Linked DNA regions of Caenorhabditis elegans. The protein of the gene in region 1 purifies or fractionates together with the protein of each later gene. This does not show direct contact. Each region holds a gene or a part of one and is shown in the gene's direction. Other genes may lie near its edges.

What was found.
Region 2: the proteins of T02D1.8 (region 1) and shl-1 fractionate together in Caenorhabditis elegans (co-fractionation; one large-scale study listed by BioGRID). This does not show direct contact.
Region 3: the proteins of T02D1.8 (region 1) and C33A12.3 fractionate together in Caenorhabditis elegans (co-fractionation; one large-scale study listed by BioGRID). This does not show direct contact.
Region 4: the proteins of T02D1.8 (region 1) and ddi-1 fractionate together in Caenorhabditis elegans (co-fractionation; one large-scale study listed by BioGRID). This does not show direct contact.

The regions. Positions count from the first base shown.
Region 1 is NC_003282.8:17,386,234-17,389,143, reverse strand, and holds T02D1.8 (DUF4440 domain-containing protein), read left to right. Parts: upstream 1-1,651; 5' UTR 1,652-1,694; coding exon 1,695-1,713; intron 1,714-1,763; coding exon 1,764-1,904; intron 1,905-1,959; coding exon 1,960-2,015; intron 2,016-2,062; coding exon 2,063-2,137; intron 2,138-2,178; coding exon 2,179-2,265; 3' UTR 2,266-2,360; downstream 2,361-2,910. Other genes in the region: C30H6.12 (BESS domain-containing protein), read right to left, coding at 2,361-2,531.
Region 2 is NC_003282.8:6,378,053-6,385,769, reverse strand, and holds shl-1 (BTB domain-containing protein), read left to right. Parts: upstream 1-1,699; 5' UTR 1,700-1,787; coding exon 1,788-1,889; intron 1,890-2,452; coding exon 2,453-2,680; intron 2,681-3,518; coding exon 3,519-3,967; intron 3,968-3,984; exon of another isoform or gene 3,985-4,005; intron 4,006-4,375; exon of another isoform or gene 4,376-4,396; intron 4,397-4,535; coding exon 4,536-4,644; intron 4,645-4,750; coding exon 4,751-4,966; intron 4,967-5,233; coding exon 5,234-5,410; intron 5,411-5,498; coding exon 5,499-5,601; intron 5,602-5,866; exon of another isoform or gene 5,867-5,887; intron 5,888-6,002; coding exon 6,003-6,195; intron 6,196-6,802; coding exon 6,803-6,884; intron 6,885-6,933; coding exon 6,934-7,011; 3' UTR 7,012-7,485; downstream 7,486-7,717. Other genes in the region: bli-6 (Nematode cuticle collagen N-terminal domain-containing protein), read right to left, coding at 7,662-7,717.
Region 3 is NC_003282.8:9,510,236-9,514,792, reverse strand, and holds C33A12.3 (UPF0462 protein C4orf33 homolog), read left to right. Parts: upstream 1-1,790; 5' UTR 1,791-1,799; coding exon 1,800-1,928; intron 1,929-2,018; coding exon 2,019-2,090; intron 2,091-2,147; coding exon 2,148-2,201; intron 2,202-2,267; coding exon 2,268-2,397; intron 2,398-2,481; coding exon 2,482-2,571; intron 2,572-2,617; coding exon 2,618-2,709; intron 2,710-2,953; exon of another isoform or gene 2,954-3,030; intron 3,031-3,326; exon of another isoform or gene 3,327-3,398; intron 3,399-3,540; coding exon 3,541-3,666; 3' UTR 3,667-4,045; downstream 4,046-4,557. Other genes in the region: C33A12.4 (TFIP11), read left to right, coding at 4,246-4,332, 4,410-4,508.
Region 4 is NC_003282.8:6,521,107-6,525,106, forward strand, and holds ddi-1 (Protein DDI1 homolog 1), read left to right. Parts: upstream 1-1,760; 5' UTR 1,761-1,767; coding exon 1,768-1,839; intron 1,840-1,886; coding exon 1,887-1,991; intron 1,992-2,037; coding exon 2,038-2,404; intron 2,405-2,454; coding exon 2,455-2,600; intron 2,601-2,651; coding exon 2,652-2,880; intron 2,881-2,934; coding exon 2,935-3,064; intron 3,065-3,118; coding exon 3,119-3,239; 3' UTR 3,240-3,465; downstream 3,466-4,000. Other genes in the region: gtnt-2 (Glycosyltransferase family 92 protein), read left to right, coding at 8-296, 354-512, 555-661, 707-1,112; C01G5.5 (NADP-dependent oxidoreductase domain-containing protein), read left to right, coding at 3,534-3,605, 3,659-3,757. UniProt on the Caenorhabditis elegans protein: Aspartic protease. Required for the cleavage and activation of transcription factors such as isoform a of the transcription factor skn-1, which in turn regulates the expression of proteasomal subunits such as rpt-3.

The DNA.
Region 1 (2,910 bases):
CAGGATGGGTTGCTGTTTAGAGCAAAATTTGTGTCTCTAGATACTCTATAATGACCTGCTAAGCCAATCTAGAGCCGCCCGGACAGAGAGTATTCGACACTACCTCTGGCCTGCGTGAGACGGTGTACTTCTTGGCCAGATAATTTGCACTTGGTTCCAAACCAAGCCACTCTCGATGTGACGAAATCATCGAGTTTGTTGAAGTGGTTATCTGTTGATCCCTTTCGCCACGAAGAGGCTTAGTACAGAAAGAGTTTTTTTTTCTTTTTTTGTACGAGCATCTTTTCTTTTTACCGAAAAAGAAAAAAAAAACATCATGAACTTTTTGGGAGGTTTAGACTATTTTTAGAATATTCAGAAATCTCAAACATAGTGAGTCAACAAAATGTATACTCTAGATTAACGTGATTTCAGAAAAGGTTATTTACGCAAGTTTTTGGTACTTTGCTTCTACTAAAAGCTAAGCAAGCTTTTAATAAAGCAATCGCAGAATCCAAAAACTGGCTTTAAATTTCTGAAGAGACCACATTCATTAAATCTCAAACTTCGACAATCCTGCTTGTGCCTTTTTTACCGAAAAAGAAGACATTTTTCAGAGGGAACGTTGCAAAAATCCTTGAGTTTGGGGTAAGCCAGTTGCAGAATTGTACATTTAAAAAAATAATTGGAAGTTAGAAAACAAGATTTTTTTTCTTTAGAGACCACATCCATCAAACCCTAGACTTTGTCAATCTTGCTTGTGCTTTTTTAACCGAAAAAGCTCTTTTTCCTATTTTCTCATTTCCTATCAAGTACCCAGCTGAAATTAATGGAAATCTTGAAGAAAAACGTAGGACGGAATACGTTTCTCATTAAGAAAGTCATGAACTAAAATTGCGTTCTTATTTGAAAGAATTGGAGTTCTGTAAACAATAATAAAACATTGAAGACATTTTTCAGAGGGAATGTTGCAAGAATCCTTGAGTTTGAGGTAAGCCAGTTGCAGATTTGTACATTTAAAAAAAAATTGGAAGTTAGAAAACAAGATTTGCATTTTATTCATTTTACATATTTCGCTGCCAAGCAGCAACGGAACTTCATAAATTTTTGAAAAATTTTATTGAAGTATATTTTTGATAAATTTTGAAGTCAGATAAATACCTTTTTTTTTGATTTTCAAGAAATCTATTATCTGAGTTTGTTTAATCTTATAGTTAGTTACTCTTCAAAGTTATCACTTTTGACATTTGCGTACAACACATTTGTCTTCTAAACCCAAATTCCCCACTTTCTCGTAGAAATTAAAACACGTGTGCTCCGAGAAACATTTTTGTGTTAAAATGTCTATCAACGTTGAGGAAAATAATAGAGGAAGCAGGCAAGTGCCAGTTGTTTCTCTCTCTCACTCTTTTCACGTTTATCAGTGATTTCAGTTCATTTCGACTTCTCAATCGGTGTCACTGATTGGTTTTTGTGTTGTTCGAAGTTTAAACAATTTATCTTTGAATTTATATCTAAAATAGTTGATTCTGCAGTTGAAAAATAACATTATTGAAATTTTTTCATTTAATTTTTGGCGTTCAGCATTTTTAGCACGTTTTCTGAAATTGTATTTTTAACAACAAGCTTCAAACCCATTTTTACCGACTCAACCAATAATACATCTTTGTAGTTCTCTCTGCGTGGAAAACAAGTATTGAGCTTCAACTTGAAAAATGTCATTGACAAATGAGCGTAGGTCTACAGATAGTATAGCTTCCAAAAGTTTTTTTTTTAATTTTCAGAAGCTGAGTCCATTTTGGCTCCATTGATGAAAAAGTACCTCGACGCGTTGAACACTTCTAATTGGAAACAAGTCGAGAACTTTTATCATGTTAATTCGGTTATGATTGAGAAAGGAAAAAGTTGTATGTTTGGTAATCAAGGTAAAGATAATCATAGTTCAATCGATTTCCCATTAATGAAACTTGTGAATTTCAGCGATAGTGGACAGTTTCAAAGGAATGGGAGCCGATTTTGGAAAGTACGAAGTTCAGGTGATAAACATTTTAAACATTTTAAAATCTATCCTAACAATTTTCAGATCTCCAATTCTCGCTACGAAGGAGTTGGTGATTTTGTAAACATTCACACCGATTTTAGCTTTGTTACTGAAAAGGTTAAATTTAATAGATTTTCAAATTTAATGTAAAGTTTCAGCAAGGAACTCTAAGCGGAAAATTTACGCAAATCTGGAAGAAAGAAGACGGAAAGTACGCTATTCTTCACGATCAATTTGAACTCTAGATTCTGTAAATGTTCTTTTTCAACGGTTAATTATATGAATTTTTGAACTTTTTATTACAGTTTTGAAAATAAAATTATTGGTTTGAGGGGACGATCTAAAATAAATCAGTTTGAATAACAGCATCTCGAACTGTAACGAGAAGTTCTTTTCGGAGTAGCTCGTACTCTGGGAGATTTTCAATCTGTTTAGATGTGCGGGATGGAGCACCGATGAAGCAAGTGGCCAGATCGTTAGTTAGAATGGATGTCGGCGAACCTTCGGAGCTCTAAAAAGATTTCAAATTTTTTATGTAATTAGAATTGAATCAAACATGTGTTTGTTGTTACTGATATTGTTTCTAAATTAGATGTTTTCAAGTTTAAAAAAATTTCTAAAAGAAAATCAACATTTTGAAGGGCGTGTGTTTGAACTTTTTTGCCTGGGAAGAGGAAGCTTTTATATGAAACTTCATAAATTGTGGTGTGTAAGAAGTGTGTAAATTTAAAGTCAGCTTATTAAAATTTGAAAGCTTCAAATCAAATACTTAAGTAAGAATCAAGAAAAGCAAAAATGGCAAACCTAGGTAATTAGTTTGCGCGGGAATTCAAAATTGATCTAAAAAATAATTCAGCAATTTATTTTTTTGCGAAATTGAATAAAAACTA
Region 2 (7,717 bases), about 11 Mb from region 1:
CAACTACTGCCAAAGCAAGCATTTTTAAAGTCTAAATTAAAATTTCAACAAATCAAGTAAACAAGAAAAATTGGGTTAGGCACGCAAAATTATCCACGGGACTATCAAACACCATGCTTCACCCAAATATGTAGAAATTAGGCGTTAGGCAGGTAGGCAATGGTGTTCTTTCCTAACATGAAGTTTAATTTGACTAATTGAAGTACACATAATCAACCTTCAAAAAACTTTTCAAAAAGTTCAAAAATTTTCAAAAACAATTAAAAACCCTCCAAAACGTGATTTCAGATGAACTTCAACTTGTACTTTTTCTAAACAATTCTTCAACTTTTCCGTAACGTGCCTTTTCTTTTTTCAGCTTATTTTGCTTATTCTTTTCTTCTCTCTTTATCCAATTCAACCGAAATAAGCACAAAAAATCGAGGAAAGCAAGTCATCTCCTCTCAGGCAAAAATTGAATATCGAGTTTCATTTTCTCTCTCTCTCTCTTTCTTTTTCTTTTTTTTCTAGTCTGAAGATGTCTTCAGAAGAGGTCGACTTTTCCAATTTTGTCTATCGTTTTCTCTTTCTTTTCCTGGCATCAAGGAGCCCGCGAGCCTTTAGAGAAGAGGGCTCTTTACACACAAAATTGGATAAAATTGAAAAAGAAGAGGAAAAGTGTGAAACTGGAAATGTAACACTTCTTCCTTCCCTCCAGTTCTTTTCTCTCCTTTTCTTTCCTTCACATTTTCTTTTGTCCCACGGCTTCTTGCTTCTCGAACCGATCTCGACGTCGTCTCGCGTCGTTTACGGGTAATTTGAGCCCACACGTCGTCACCCGTTTGGAGCTCTGCGCCAAGGAAACCATCAAAATTGGAGTGGGAAAGAACCTTATGTTTTTGCAAAACGACAAAAAGTTTAAAGTTGGCTGCTGTTTCTAAAAACGTTTTTTTTTGAAACAAGTGCACTTTTGCAGTTTTTTGTGACGTGCAAGCCTTCTAGACTTCACTTTTGGCTTGAGACCACTATTCAGCTATATAGGTTATGTATTCTGAGAAAAAAACATAGTTTTTTTTGTTGTTAGGTCAGAGTTACCGTAGTTGATGTATTGCAAATGTTTGCTTAAAACAAATTATTGATTTGAAAATCTTGATTTTGAAATTGAAAATTTTCCTGTGATTTTTAAGTGAAACCGTAAGTTATATATTTTTTGGCATAGCAAACTAAAATTTCCGTTTCACAGTCATTTGAAATGATTCTACAAATTTCAACATATACTACATATGGCTCCATACTTTAAAATTCGTAATTTCTAAAAATATTTCTGAATTATCTTGAACTCGAAAACTTAGTCATCAGCCCTTTGTGTCTCCAATTTCTTTCCAGAATGTAACATTTCTGAAACCCCGGTTTTCCAATGTACCCGCATATCTCACGTCGACCGACCTACCTATGCGCCTGTATTTTTATGATATGTTATTATCCCAAAACACATACAGACTTACCCTTTTTTATTTCGATTAATTTATTTCAAACTTCAAACGAAAGCTCGATTATTTAATTTTCAAGCAACTGCTGTTGTAGACCACTTGAAATATAAGTTTTCAAAAAAATCAAACTTTCAAATTCTTCAATATATTTCCAATTCCCATAAATGATTTCTTTTCTTTTCATTAATTCGCTTCAACTTTCAAAATTATTTTCATAACTCCTGCTTTACAGCGTACCCAGCAAAATAGAAAAAATTTTCCTGAAAACGACGTCATCAGGAAAAGTGTTCAGAATCCGTCGTCGTTGTCTTCTTCAGAATGGCTTCGGTGGCGGCGTGGCTGCCGTTCGCGAGAGCCGCCGCTATCGGATGGGTTCCCATTTCGAGACAGCCCATGCCACAGGCCCCAGTTGCAATACAGGTTAGGTTTGGTGGGAATAATTTTCTAAATTTAAATATAAAGTAGTCCAAATTTGATCTGAAAAAATTGCGCCAAATATTTATTTCCCGATGTTTTTTTACACTGTGATATTTCTAAAAATTTTTGTGTGACGCCACACATCTTCATTTTTAATGAGAGACACTTAGGCAGCATTCTGTGTTTCTATTCGGTCATTTATAGACACTATAAAACAGTGGAAATTTCCACGTTCTCACAATTAGGAATTCTTGTTCGCGGAAAAGGTTCAAACATCAAAAAATACGGAATTCTTTCATAAATTCTTGTTCACACACGTGTTAGGTGGTCGATGTCTTTTGAAAATTTGGAAATTTGATACGAGTGTCATATGCAATGAGAGATTAGATCCTCTTTTTAGTTCCAGGATCCGTAGTGAGAGGGAAACTAAATATACATTTTGAACTTTGGATATGCAAAATTTTTACTGTTTCATTTATTTGGCAGATTCCTCTTTTTCATGAACTAATTTTTTGTGTTGCCTGTAGATCTCTATATGTTCACAAGCTCTCAATGTGATATTTCAGGCCAAAGACCTCGCGGTTGATCATGTCTCTGACGAAAAACTAGCAATCAACATATCAGGACGAAGGTTCGAAACGTGGAAGAACACGTTGGAAAAGTTCCCAGAGACTCTATTGGGGTCAAATGAAAAAGAGTTCTTTTATGATGAAGACACTGGGGAATACTTTTTCGATAGGGATCCGGACATATTCCGACACATTCTCACATTTTATAGAACGGGAAAATTGCATGTGAGTTGTTTGTTTTTGTTGTTTGAGCCAGTTTGAGACAAAAAATTGCAAGCATTAAAAATTAATGTTTTTTGAAACAGTTTTTTTAAAAATAAACTCTCTTCAACTTTCTAAACTTCCGCTGAAAATGTTCTTAAAATGTAGAATCATGCTTTGACATTTTTTCTATAAAAAATCAAATTTTAACCCATTCACATAGGCGCTAATGTCCCCGTCTACCAACAAAGCAGCATAGACCTGTCTCGAGCCTACAGACAAACCGCAGGCGGGCAGCAGGCAGGCGTTAAAATTAAAAATATCTGCCTACAAACTTACGCATTTGTTTTGCAATTTTTTTTTGGAAATATACAGAATTCAATTGATTGTAAAATAGATGCAATTTTTATTCAGAAAAATATTAAATCTTTTGAGCAATGCTTTTTGAGAATTTGGAGCATCGCCGGAGAATATTTTAAATTAATTATGCCTAATGGTGCTTAAATGGCCTAATAATGTAGTAAATCCTTTATAAATTCAATTTTTTTTAAAATTTTATTCAAAAGTGACGATTCCTCATTTTTTATTTATTTTAATAATGCGTTAATAAGTTTTACTCAAACACTGTATGAGTATGAACTTGTAAGACTGCTAGATATTTCTCAAAGGAAACGGAGTAATATTTTTCGAAAATAAATTTTAATTTCAAAATAAATTTTATTTTGTATTATAATTTTCAATATTATTTTTTAATAAAAAAAATCTTTGAAAAATTTAAGATTTTCGTTTGAGTATGTGGTGACTTGTTGAAATCTATTAAAATGCGCCACTTTCCATTTTTCCCAGAAATCCATATTTTCAGTATCCCCGTCATGAATGTCTTGTTGCATACGACGAAGAGCTCAGTTTCTTTGGAATAATGCCTGATTTGATATCAGATTGTTGCTATGAAGACTATAAAGATAAAAAACGAGAAAATCAAGAAAGATTACAAGAAGAACGTGTAGAAAATGCGGATATATCAACATTAAAATTGTCTCTTAAAGAGAAAATGTGGGCGGCATTCGAGAATCCGCACACAACATCAATAGCACTTGTATTTTATTATGTCATTGGATTTTTTATTGCTGTATCAGTGATGTGTAATATAGTGGAAACAATACCTTGTGGGTATGAGGATAATGTGTCTGTGACGTGTGGAGAAGCCTATGAAGAGCAATTCTTTGTTATCGATACAGCGTGTGTTATCATTTTTACGATTGAGTACTTTTTACGGTTGATTTCTGCGCCGGACCGAATCAAATTTATGAGGTACGTTTCTTTTAATATCAATATGTAAACTTCTCACACTAATAAGTTAAATATTCACTGATTTTATCAAACTCATTTGAAACAGCAATAAAATTTTGAATTTTCTAATTATCCAATTTTGACGCTTTTTGATTACCTATCGGCTTTAGAGACAATTTAATCAACCAATTATTTAATACAAAAATAAATTAGCAAAACGCAATTAGGAATAATAATCAAATAAAAACGAATTACCCAATGCTATGGGAAAGTTCGCGAAATTCAAGATTTGAGCTAAAATAATCGTAATTCTTTTCAAAATCTTGTGCCGCCAAAAAAAAATTGGAAAATTTTTTGAGAAGTCTCATTACAAAATTCAACCATTTCAGTATGACCCTCTAGCCCGTCTTTAATGCATTTTTATGATTTCAAAAGTTTTGTTCAAAATTATCAGTTCAAAAATATAGAGATGTTTCTCATAACAATCATGAAACTGTAAAATAATTAAGGACACATTTGTCAAAATTGGATAACATGTTATTTATTCGTCCTTATTTTTTTAACCATTTAAATGGTTTTCTTTTTTCAGGTCAATAATGAGTGTAATCGATGTGATTGCCATAATGCCTTACTACGTTAGTTTGGTACTAACTGACAATAAGGATGTATCCGGCTTGTTTGTCACTTTAAGAGTTTTCGTAAGTTTTTTCTTTTGTTAATCCTTAAATTGAATATCCAAATATTTTTTCGAACATTCTGATAAAAATCATTAATTCTTTGATCAAATCCTTCTAAAATTTACAGCGTGTCTTCCGAATATTCAAATTCTCACGACATTCCCAAGGTCTTCGAATTCTGGGTTACACTCTTAAATCGTGTGCAAGTGAACTTGGATTCCTTGTATTTTCACTGGCAATGGCAATTATCATATTTGCCACTATTATGTATTATGCGGAGAAAAAGGTCGACGCGACGAGATTTACCTCGATTCCGTCAGCTTTCTGGTATACAATTGTGACTGTGAGTTTTTCTTTGTAAAATTAAGAAACGGGGTTGAAATTTTGATTTTTACGTTAAATACTCTCCATAAAACCTTCAACGTTTTGCAAATACCTTATCCCAAATGCACTAGGAAAATGTAAATTTTAAAGTTAATATTTGCATTGGAAAAATTAAAAATTAAAATATTTTTTTTTTAATTATACAAATCACTGAAGACTAAAGGTGAAACCTATTCATACAACACAGTCATTGTTTTTCATAATAAAAAATTAATTTTTCTTTCAGCTAACAACTCTTGGATACGGAGACATGGTTCCATCAACAATAATGGGTAAAATAGTTGGAGGAGTATGCTCACTGTCTGGAGTGTTGGTTATTGCTCTTCCAGTTCCAGTTATTGTCAGCAATTTCTCTCGAATTTATCATCAAAATCAGAGAGCTGACAAGAGAAAAGCACAGAAGGTATGGTTTTTCGTTCAGTTGTAAAACCTTTTTAAACACTTAGTGATTTTTTTGCAAATTTGTTGGATTAAATTTAATCAATTTTCAGAAAGCCCGTCTTGCTAGAATTCGGATCGTTAAAAACGCGTCTGGACTAGCATTATTCAATAAGAAGAGAGCTCATGAAGCTCGGATGCTAGCATTTGAACAGGGTAAGTTGGTTTTTTTTTTCATTAGAACATTTCGTATTGCCGGCTTAAGTTAGTTATTATTGAGTTGTCACAAAAATATTTAACTTTGGAAATATAGAAAAGTATTCCATTTTGTTTTTCGGTCTCTTGGCATTTCTGTTGGCTCAAAAAAAGCAAATATAAAACATTAAAATTAAAAATTAATAAAAACAGTTCGTGATTCCGCTTGCTCAAGAGGGCACAAATTTTGAATCCGGTATAAAAAACAGATTCTGTGGTTTTTTTTTATTCCGTTTTTTTATATTTAATGTTTTAGGTTTTCGGTTACTTAATTTATTAGCAATGTGAAACATTAAAAAAAAATTATGTGTACAAAATTCTAGATTATAATTGAGATAACTCTAAAAAGTGCATTTTTGCAGGTCATCTCTCTTTCGATGCTCTCCGAGACGAAGATATCTTCGAAATCCAACATCATCATCTTCTTCAGTGTCTAGAAAAAGCGACGGAACGTGAATTTGTTGAATCAGAAGTGATGTTTGAAGGTGGAAGAAATACTCCTCCGCCCAGTGAAACAGCTTCATTGAAAGGAAAAACAAAGCGTAAAAGGCGATTGTGAGTTTTTGATTTTCAATCCTTTGAAGATTTATTAGTCTCTGGATTTCAGGGTAAAAAAATAAGAAAAAATTTTATACTATTCATCAATAAAATAAATTATCATCAAAAAAATTCACTGATGCTTTCTTTTCGTTAATGCATTTAAAATGGAAAATAATCATGAATGAAAATGAAAACTGTAGAAAATATTGTTGCGTTTTAAAATCCAAAATTCAAAAATATGCCTCTGCAACCCTGGCTAAGATGTCTGCTTGAATTCCCACCAAACATAGAACAAGGATATTAGGCAGCGTTGAAATACCATGTTTTCAAAAATTGTAGTTTCAATTATTTCTTGAATTTTTTTGAGTTTCTTCTTTGTCAGCAATATTTTGAGTATTTTAAATTAGAACCCCATTCGAAAAGTGAGTGTACCACGAAATGGTCTCGTTGGTGCAACTTTAGAGGGAATTCAAATAGCAAAATTGACAAAAGTGGAAAAACCTTAAATTCTTGATGTTGGATTTACTTCTTATTTTTGTCATTTTTCCTTGGTGATATTTTTGATTTTTGGATCACAATTTTGAGTTAAAACAACAAATCTCCTGAAATTTATTTTTTTTAGATGCTGTGTTTCAAAAGAAAATGAAGAAATGGAAGAGTTGGATCGAGAGACTCGTGTAACATTCAATCAGAATATGGATCAGGTATAAACTAACACCAGTTATTTGTTGAAAATTATATTATTAATTTCAGATTTGTGAATTACCAAAACCTGATGAAATGGAACTCAATCATCGAAATAATGACAAAATTTGCGTATCGCAACTGTAATCTACTTCTTTATTTTATTTTTTTAAAATGATTTCTAAAAATCATTTTCTATAGAAAATTTCTCTCATTGCTCTACCGGTTCCGTCTTTCTAGAAGCTAGTTGTTCTTTTACAAAAGTTTTCTGAAATCATCCCTCCCAACTATTCGGTTTCCCCAATCTCTCATCAACGATGCAATTTTGTTTTTTTCTGTAATTTTTACTTTTTCAAGTTAGAAACAAATATATTTCCATTGAACCCGTTTCCCGAAAAACTTCATATCGCTCTTTTTCTTTTTCAGTTCGAGGTGACTTTTCTCTAAATTTTCCCCGCTACTAGGAGCCTCTCCGATGATCTGCCCATTGGTGGCAGATGTCTTTCATTTTTTTTTTGATTTTTCAGATGGAAATATAAAATTGAAGTAAAATTAACTTTTTATGTGCAGTTTTTTTTTTTTCAATTTTCCAGGTCTGTCGATAAAGTTTTATTTATTTTCTAATTTTAGAAAACCACAAAGGGAATTACTTTTTTTTAACTTAGTGAGCTGGTTCATTTGTATCAGCTCATTGCTGAAAAAATGTAACTGTACAACATTCCGCTTCATTCCAATTGCATTTTAAACTACAAAAAACTTTATAAACAGATACATAAAATAATGCAATTATCAACAGTTTATCGTCGGGTTCCGTCCTCAAAGAAGATTCCTCCATCGATAGCACAATACTTTG
Region 3 (4,557 bases), 7.9 Mb from region 1:
CTTCTGAGCAAGATAACTGTATTTTTACGAATTTCTTCCATAACTGTATGTGTACTAGAAATATAAACTTTTGAATAGTTTTGGATACTTTTAGTGTGGGCTGTTCCAATTGCAACACCTAAAAATATATGTATTAATTTTTTTAAAAAGTTACATGATTAGATCTCTTCTTTGACAGTTTATATTTCGGTTAATTTTAAAGATATAAAAAACATTTCAAATTATAGAAGAAAGTATTCAAAAAAAGACGGTCGAAATTTTTTCTGAGCTGCCACAAATTAGCACTCCGGCTGCAACACACATAGAGGAAATACGGTAACTAAAAATAAGAAAAACAGTCAAAAGGTAAACATATATTTGGAGCTTTTCCTCAAATTTCAATTAATCTTTGTACTTATTTTCGTCAAATGATATCACTATTTCCACATATTACATCATTATTGTACGCATATGACATTTTTGTTTTCCTTTGCTTATCTGAACCTCTCTCACGAGACAGAATTGCTAAAAGTTTCGAAACATTTTGCTTTTTAATAAATATATTTCTTTATTTTATGGTTAGTCTAAGTTCACAATTGTTATATTAAGACTACATGGGTACCGTATCATTTTGATATACATTGTAGATTTACTATGTTTTTTTTAAGTTTCAGAAAAGTATTTAATTATTTGTTGAAACATTTTTGGAGTTGCTTTTCAGAAAGAAACAGGTGACAGTTTCAAATGTATCTTCTGTGTAATAAAACACATGTGTTGGTTCAGATGTTTGTTTAATTTTGCAAACGGTCATGCGTAGCGCAACGACTTTATTTTTATTTCATTCGTTTCTTTTTCGCACAGTCAGAGTGCATTTGAGGTGCAAACACTTGCATCACAATTTCTATTGATTCGTTATTTTTTAAACAATTTAATTTGATGAGAGACGAGAAGCATCCATTTTTCGGCAACTAATGATCGCTTGGCCAACTTCCAACATCCTCATTCCACGATTTCAAAACTGTCTCTGCTTCTTCGAATTCTATTGTATTTTTGTTAGCGTGAAAGGAAACAATGCGCGATAAGCAAACTGGGAGCGGAGTGGAATACGGAGAGAGAGAGAAAACGAGGTGGTCAGCTGATTTGTTTGCTTCACTTTATTCCCACATTTTCACTTTTCAACAGTTTCTCGTGACTGACCACATAAAGTTTAAGCAATCGATGCCATTCGTTTTTAAAATTTTGGATAACACATATACTTGATAAAAGAAGTTACGAAAACCAGTAGGAAATTCGTTTAATTTCTATCAAAATTCTACAGTACCGGTACAGTTGGAAGACAAGAGAGTGCGTGCACAGAAGAGACGCAGAAATATGTCGGCAGCTAGTGTGCAATGTGTGCAAACACCACCACGTAAAAGTACACAGATTGAGTGCCAAAATTGTTTCAAGAGGCCTATTTTTGGATATTTAAAAGAGTTTTCGACGCATATTTCATTATTTATTTTTAAATTTCAAAGTTTAGTCATTTTTATATATCCCTTATTGATTTTCTCTCCTTTTAACTCGTTGGAGTTTATTTTACAAGAGGATATGTAGTGTTTTGAATGATAATATATTAATTACGAGCGTATCTCTTTAAAAAGTTATTCTTCAAAATACCACAATGTTCGTTATTCAAGCTTTCAACATTCTAAACTTTCGTGTATTTTTTGTGTATCTTTCTCCTTATAAGCTACGCCTTTCCTCGTCTCCACCACATTCTCTCGTCTCATATGATGTCGGTTGACATGTGTATTCGTCTTCTTTTGCAGCTTTCAGTCATGTGGAATATGGTACAAACCGACCATGACGATCTCGAGAAAGCCGAGGCAATGAACTCGATGGCAGGACTCAAGTACACCATTGATCATACTTGGGATGGACTTCCACTTGCACATGAGCCTATCAAAGTGAGTTTTCGAATTTTTATACATTTAGATTCGAGAAAATTACGGTTTATTGCAAACTTTTTGTAAATGCGTATATTTGAATTTTTGCAGATTGACTTGAAGTGGCACTTTGAGCGACTCGTCGGGCGCCCACATAAGCGAGTTGTCAAGATTTCATTCGACGTAATAATTTTGAATATTTATATATTTATAAAAACTTCAACAAAATTTCGTATTCAGGCACCATTCTTCGACGATCCAGAACCACTCGATCCACCAGGAATAACACCACAGGTTAGTCAGTTTTTACTGTGATAAAGTATATAATTCAATAGTTTCTCCAAATTAAATTCTTTTCAGCTTTGGGATTTCGAAGTTATTGAATTCTTCTTCGCAAATGATCGTGGACAGTATCTAGAAGTTGAGATTGGTCCACATGGACATTGGCTCTGCCTTCTTTTTGACGGAGTTCGTCATACTATCAACAACGGTGAGTATTTTAACTTTTTAAGTATTTTGAAAATATCAGTTTTTCGAAAGTTACATGTTTCCCTTCAATCTTTAATCATTTCAGGCGAAGAACTCGAACTCGAAGTACGCAACAAATGGGTTGGAAATCGTTGGGTAGGAGAAGTCGAGATTCCTCTTGCATACTTCCCATCCAGTAATTTTTAAGTTTAATTGTAAAATTATGCAAATCTTATTTCCAGAAGTTACAAAATTTAACGCTTATCACATCCATGGAATGGATTCGGAACGCGTTTACGCCGCATTGAGCCCTGTGACCGATGGAACTTATTCGGTGAGCTTTAATACAATAAATTATTGAAAAAAAATGATTTCAACCTGTTTGTAATATAAAAATTTGCAACTTTTGGCTCCCAATATAGAGCCCATCACTCATAATCTTTTCTTCTCACATTTGTCTTCACTATCGGCACTCATTTTGCTCCGCCCATCGTAAACATAAAACATAGTTGACTGCGAAACCCGTGATTCGTCCGTACACGCAACTATATACTCACCCTATTGACGAGTCTCAACTCGTTAAACCATAACTAACTCAGGGCCTTGTTAAAGACCCGAAGTACAATTTTTGAAGCCCTGTCTCTCGAGGCAGGGGAAAAATTTATGTTGATAATGTTTTTGTTTAGGTGAACTGAGATTTAAAACTAATATTTTTAAAAAGTAGATGTTGAATATTAATCCTTTCTGGGACTATTTAAACACGATTTGCATAATATTAAATTTCTTGTTCGTTTCATGTTTTCCTTCGGCATGCCTTTTTCGTTGTGTCTCCGTCTCCACAATCTGAACGGACGCCCCGCCCACCTCTCACATAGAATGGAGGGTGGCGGAACCCGGCAGATGTCGGTTCAAACGGGAGGGTACCCTCTTTACGCCACAGGGAATAGTCGATTTCTTATAATACTTCAGGGCCTTACTAAAGACCCAGTGTACAATTTTTGCAGCCCTGTCTTCTGAGGCAGGGGAAAATGATTTAATTAATTAAGAATTTGGTGAATTGGATATATTAAATATAATCTCACATCCTATTCCAAAGAGAATCACATTGATTGGGTGAATACATAATATTTAGCATTTTTTTAAACATTAAAAATAAAATTTTCAGGAACCAGACTTCCACCGCCTGGAATTCTTCCAAAAAATCAACATGCGCCGAGTGATTCCAGAAGGTTATGGAGATCGTCCTTTCGCTGATTTCAAGTACGGAGATCTTTGGGCTGGGCACTATTGACACTGGCTTTAAATTTAGAAATTTCCAATATATCAGTGAGATTTGTTTTCTTTCCGGTTTTGAGCTGTTCAACCAATTCCATTTTGGCTTTTATGTGTCAATTGTCATCCGACAACAAAAATTATAACTTTTTGAAAATTTTTATTCACCTTCTATTAGAAACCGGGTTTATTGTTCTTCTCAAAATTGCTTACAAATTTTCTTGTTTTCCTTCCTATTTCATTTGAGAATTTCGCTATGCCCCATTAGGTTGTGTTGTTCTTCCGATTGCCCATTTTCAAATTCTTTCACTCCTCATTTTTTGTGTTTTAAATGTTTAAACTATTTATTTTCAGTATTCTCTTGTTTTATATTTCTGACTCATAAACTTTTCCTTTCGAAAATAGACACAACCACATGACATGTCGCATGATCTAGAGCTCCCGTTGTCCCTGGAAACCTGTTGTTTAGCTCGGGTCTCCATGGAAATTGAGCACAAAAGGGGGCGTGGCAATGGTTAGCTAGCGAGCCTCTTACAGCATAAAAAGAGCTCATTCTCGTTTTCATAAGCAGCATCTGAAGCCAACAACTTGGACAACAATGAGTGATCAAGAAGACAAAGAAGTTCCTGATGTAGAGGTTGACTACAGCAAGTACGATGAGGATAGTGTTCCAATTCCGGAAAAGGTAATAGTTTAAATTTATCTGAAATTATAATGAAAACTACCGTCAAACTCTGTGAAATCTATATAAAATTATTTCAGGATATCGAGGAATCTCATCCAGGCCGCCCGGATTTGGACTATGATGAGACTCCAGTTGGACCAGCTCCAACTGAATGCACCGAGGAGAAAAACGACTGAATATGCCACGTGGCAAATACAAATACTCCCAATACAATGAGGATTGAGG
Region 4 (4,000 bases), about 11 Mb from region 1:
TTTTCAGCCGACGTGTCTACTGTCGTTTATTCGATGAAAATAGGCAGGAAATCTATCAGAAAGCCGTGGCAGTTTTCCCCGAATTAACAATAAAGTGCTCGGAGAGTTCCTCAGTAAAAGCCGAGTTCGTTGCTGTAACTATAAACAAAAAGGATGTTCCAGGGAATATGAAGCAGATTTACAAAGAAAAAGAAACAAAGAACAAATCAGAGTTTACTGTATGTCTTGCTCCACTTTATGGAGAATCTCCGAAAGTGTTGATGTTGATGGAATTTATTGAATATTATAAGTTGCAGGTTAGTGTCTTGGGGTTACGGTAGAGTAGTTATTTTTAGAAATAAAGTGCATTTCAGGGCGCTGACCATTTTCTAATTTACTCATTCAACATCTCAAAGGAAACTGAAAATGTTTTGGATTTCTATAGAAATTCCTCAAACCTTGAAGTAATACAAATGGGAAATGAAACTAAATGTCTAAATCGTCATAGATGCAGACATGAGATGCAGTTACAGGTTTGTTTCAATTATTTTAATTTAAAAATAAAATTAATTCAGGACTGTGTATTCCGAACTCAAAAGTACTCAAGCTGGGTGGCAACGGTTGATTTGGACGAAAGGATCATGATGATTGATGAGAAATCTACTCTTTTAGATTATATCAGGTTTTCATTTTGCTTACTTTTTTATCCAACTCTCTATATTGACAGAAATTGCAATGATCATAAAATCTCTGAACTACGTTTTCGTTGTCAATGGACTCTTCGATATTCTGAAATTTCTTCTGGTGCTCCTCAAATTGAGAATCTTCCAATGATTACTTGGCATAACACCAGCCACGTGGCACCGCAGAATCATACTACAAAATCGATTATTCGGTCCCGAAATGTTGACTCGATGGGTGTGCACGGAGTTCAAAAGTTCCGAAATCCGATCTATGGAGTCCGACTTGTGGAGCCAGAAATTGCAGTTGTCCGACACTATCGATTGATTAAAGGATGGAGTTTCTTTTTAAGAGAAGCCGAATCTTTTGGCAACTTTTTCCATTTTCAACTATCTCCTGGTTTATCTAGTCGTATTATTGAAAGGGTTGCAAAAATTATTGCGAAATTTTAGAACATTACGGGTTAATAAATGTTTTTGATTTGTTTTGTTTTCTGTATTTTGATGTATTTTTGAGAGAATAAAAATATTATACCAAACATTTTGCGTCGGAATACTGTAGCTTCTCGGAAAAATATTTTTGAAGCAAAAACATGTTAAGTTTTTTTTTCAAAATCGTGAATTTTTAACGACAGCAATAATAATTTATTTCGTAAAACACATATTTCCTCATTTACTGGCAGTTTCCAGCAAAAATTACAGTCATTTCACAATTTTAATTCAAAAATTCTCAGCGGGGCGCACTTTCATATCTGTTCCTTGTCATCGTTTTGCACCGTTTTCGTCCTTCATCACGAGAATTTCTCGAGTTTTAGACAAGTTTTTACACTTTTTTGAACAGCTGTTGTCGAGAAAGCTTATAAAGTTAAAGTTAAAATGTTCTACTTCACAAATTCTCAGGTTCCATTCTTTTAACTTTCGAATCTTTATTTGAAAGGACAAAAAGTTTCCCGAGAGAACGGTTTTGTGTAATTAATTTTTTCATCGATTAGATGCGTTTATGCTCTAGAGATGCAGCGTTTTCATTTACAAATACGCAAATGTTCTTCGATTTTTTCTCATTCTTCCTTTTTCAATCTCATTTCTCATTTATTCTTCTAATTTTCAGATGTCTTTCCAAGTGAGCGTAGCCGTTAACGATGGACCATTCCAAAAGAAAAGTGTTACACCAAACACAACTGTTAGTTTTAATACTTAAATGTAATCTTTTATTCAATTTTTTTGCAGATTGGTGATCTGAATAACGACGCAATACTGATTTGGAAAGATACTGCAATTGTCTACGATATTTCGGATGAATCGAAGAATTTTGGTCCAACAGTGACATTAGAGGTAAATCGAATTGTTAAAGAAAATCTTAATCATACTATAAGTTCAGCAACTTGGCGTCACTCAAATTTCAATGGTTTACATATATACCACTGCGTTCCCATGTCCGTCTGGAGATCTCCGATCGATCGTTCCAGCACAAGTCCGGCTCATCTCGCAATTCGCTTCAGCTGCGTCGAGTATTTTTAATGGACAATCGTCTTCCTCAGCACAGTCTGCTCAGAGAACACGGAGAGTTGAACAAGATGATGAAGGTGAAAAATCGATGTTCTCTCGGAAACTTTTGGATTCTCCTGCGACGTTCAAAGCGCTCTCAGAAAATATGTTCTTCCGTTTGAAAAACGAGCCACACAAATTGGGCTACGGTTTGCCGGAACTTGTTGAACGCTTTTTGGCGAAAAAAGATATGACTTACAGTGAGTAGCGCATTTTTTAAATCTTTATCTGACGCCTATCTAATTTTCAGAGGAATTCGAGCAAATGTTCCGTTCCTACGTCGAAGAAGAAGTTCACAAGGAAGAAATTATCAAAAACAATCCAAATTCAGCAGAAGCAAAAATGTTTTTGGAAGCGAAAAGAAATAAAGAACTGATTGATGAACAATATTTACACGTAAGTTTACAATAGAAGCCTGTAAATATATACAAATTGTTATAATTTCAGTCAATGACCCACCACCCAGAAGATATGATTGCCGTCACAATGCTCTACATCAATTTGACTATAAATGGTGTTCCAGTCAAAGCTTTCATTGATTCTGGAGCTCAAAAATCGATCATGTCAATGGCATGTGCTGAACGTTGTGGTCTTAATGGATTAATCGATAGACGGTTCCAGTCAATGGCCCGAGGAGTTGGTGGAACAGAGAAAATCGAGGGAAAGATTCATTTATGTGAGTCAAAAGTTTCCAACATTGATTCACATTCATTTTAATAAATGTTTTCAGGCGATGTGAAAGTTGAAGATGCTCACTTTTCATGCCCATTCGAGGTAATGGCTCGTCGTGAGATGGATCTTCTCATCGGGCTTAATGTGCTCCGTAAGCATGGGTGTTGTATTAATCTGAAAACTTCACGGTATGTTTCCCTCACGAAAATCTCGCGAAATCTAAATTTTTTTTTCTTTTTGAGATTGGAGTTTGGCAACGGAACAACAACTCCATTCCTTCAATCCAATGAAATTGATTCTCATCTGAAAGAGATTATGGCACTTCCTGAAGAAGAAATGCAATTCGAAGATGGATCCACATAGTTCCGCCCCTACAATTTATCCTTCAAATCTCCTTGTCTTTTCATCAAAAACATTTCAATGCCACTTTACTTGTATTTTCTTCACTGCAAATATTATACGGAATTCTTTTTTTTCTGCAAATACACTCTTTCTGTGCGTATCACTTCTTTTTTCTCCATGGAAACTACCACGAGTTGTTCCCATGGGAAATTCCCAGTAAATATCTCAAATATATATTTTTTTTTCATTTTCGCTGTCCATTTTGTTGCCACAGGCGTTTTTCAGGTTGTATAATAGATTTTGTAAATAGCAGCAATGTTCAAGCTGAAGAACGGACAAGAAATTCCGAAATTGGCTCTCGGGACATACGAAGCCAAAGGTGATCAGGTTTGGAATATTTTTTATTTTTGAACTTCGTTATTTTATTTTACCTTTTTTAGCTTTTCGCAGCTGTCGACGAAGCACTCAAAGTTGGATACCGTAGTTTCGACACAGCGAAGTACTATGAAAATGAAAAGGATTTGGGTTTAGCTCTTAAAGTATGAATTAACGAAATAAAACGCAAACATGCTTTTTTAGGAAAAAAAGAATCTGATAGAAAATATATCATTACCCAGACTCGCGTTTTGTGCCAAACATACGTTACGCGGTCTCGGCGCGGCAAATGTTTGCTAATTGCGAAAAGGTGTGCGCCTTTAGAGAGTACTGTAATTCCATTCTCTTCACGTTGCACCATGAATTATAATTGATTTTCGTAGTTTTTCTTAATTAAAGACACAACC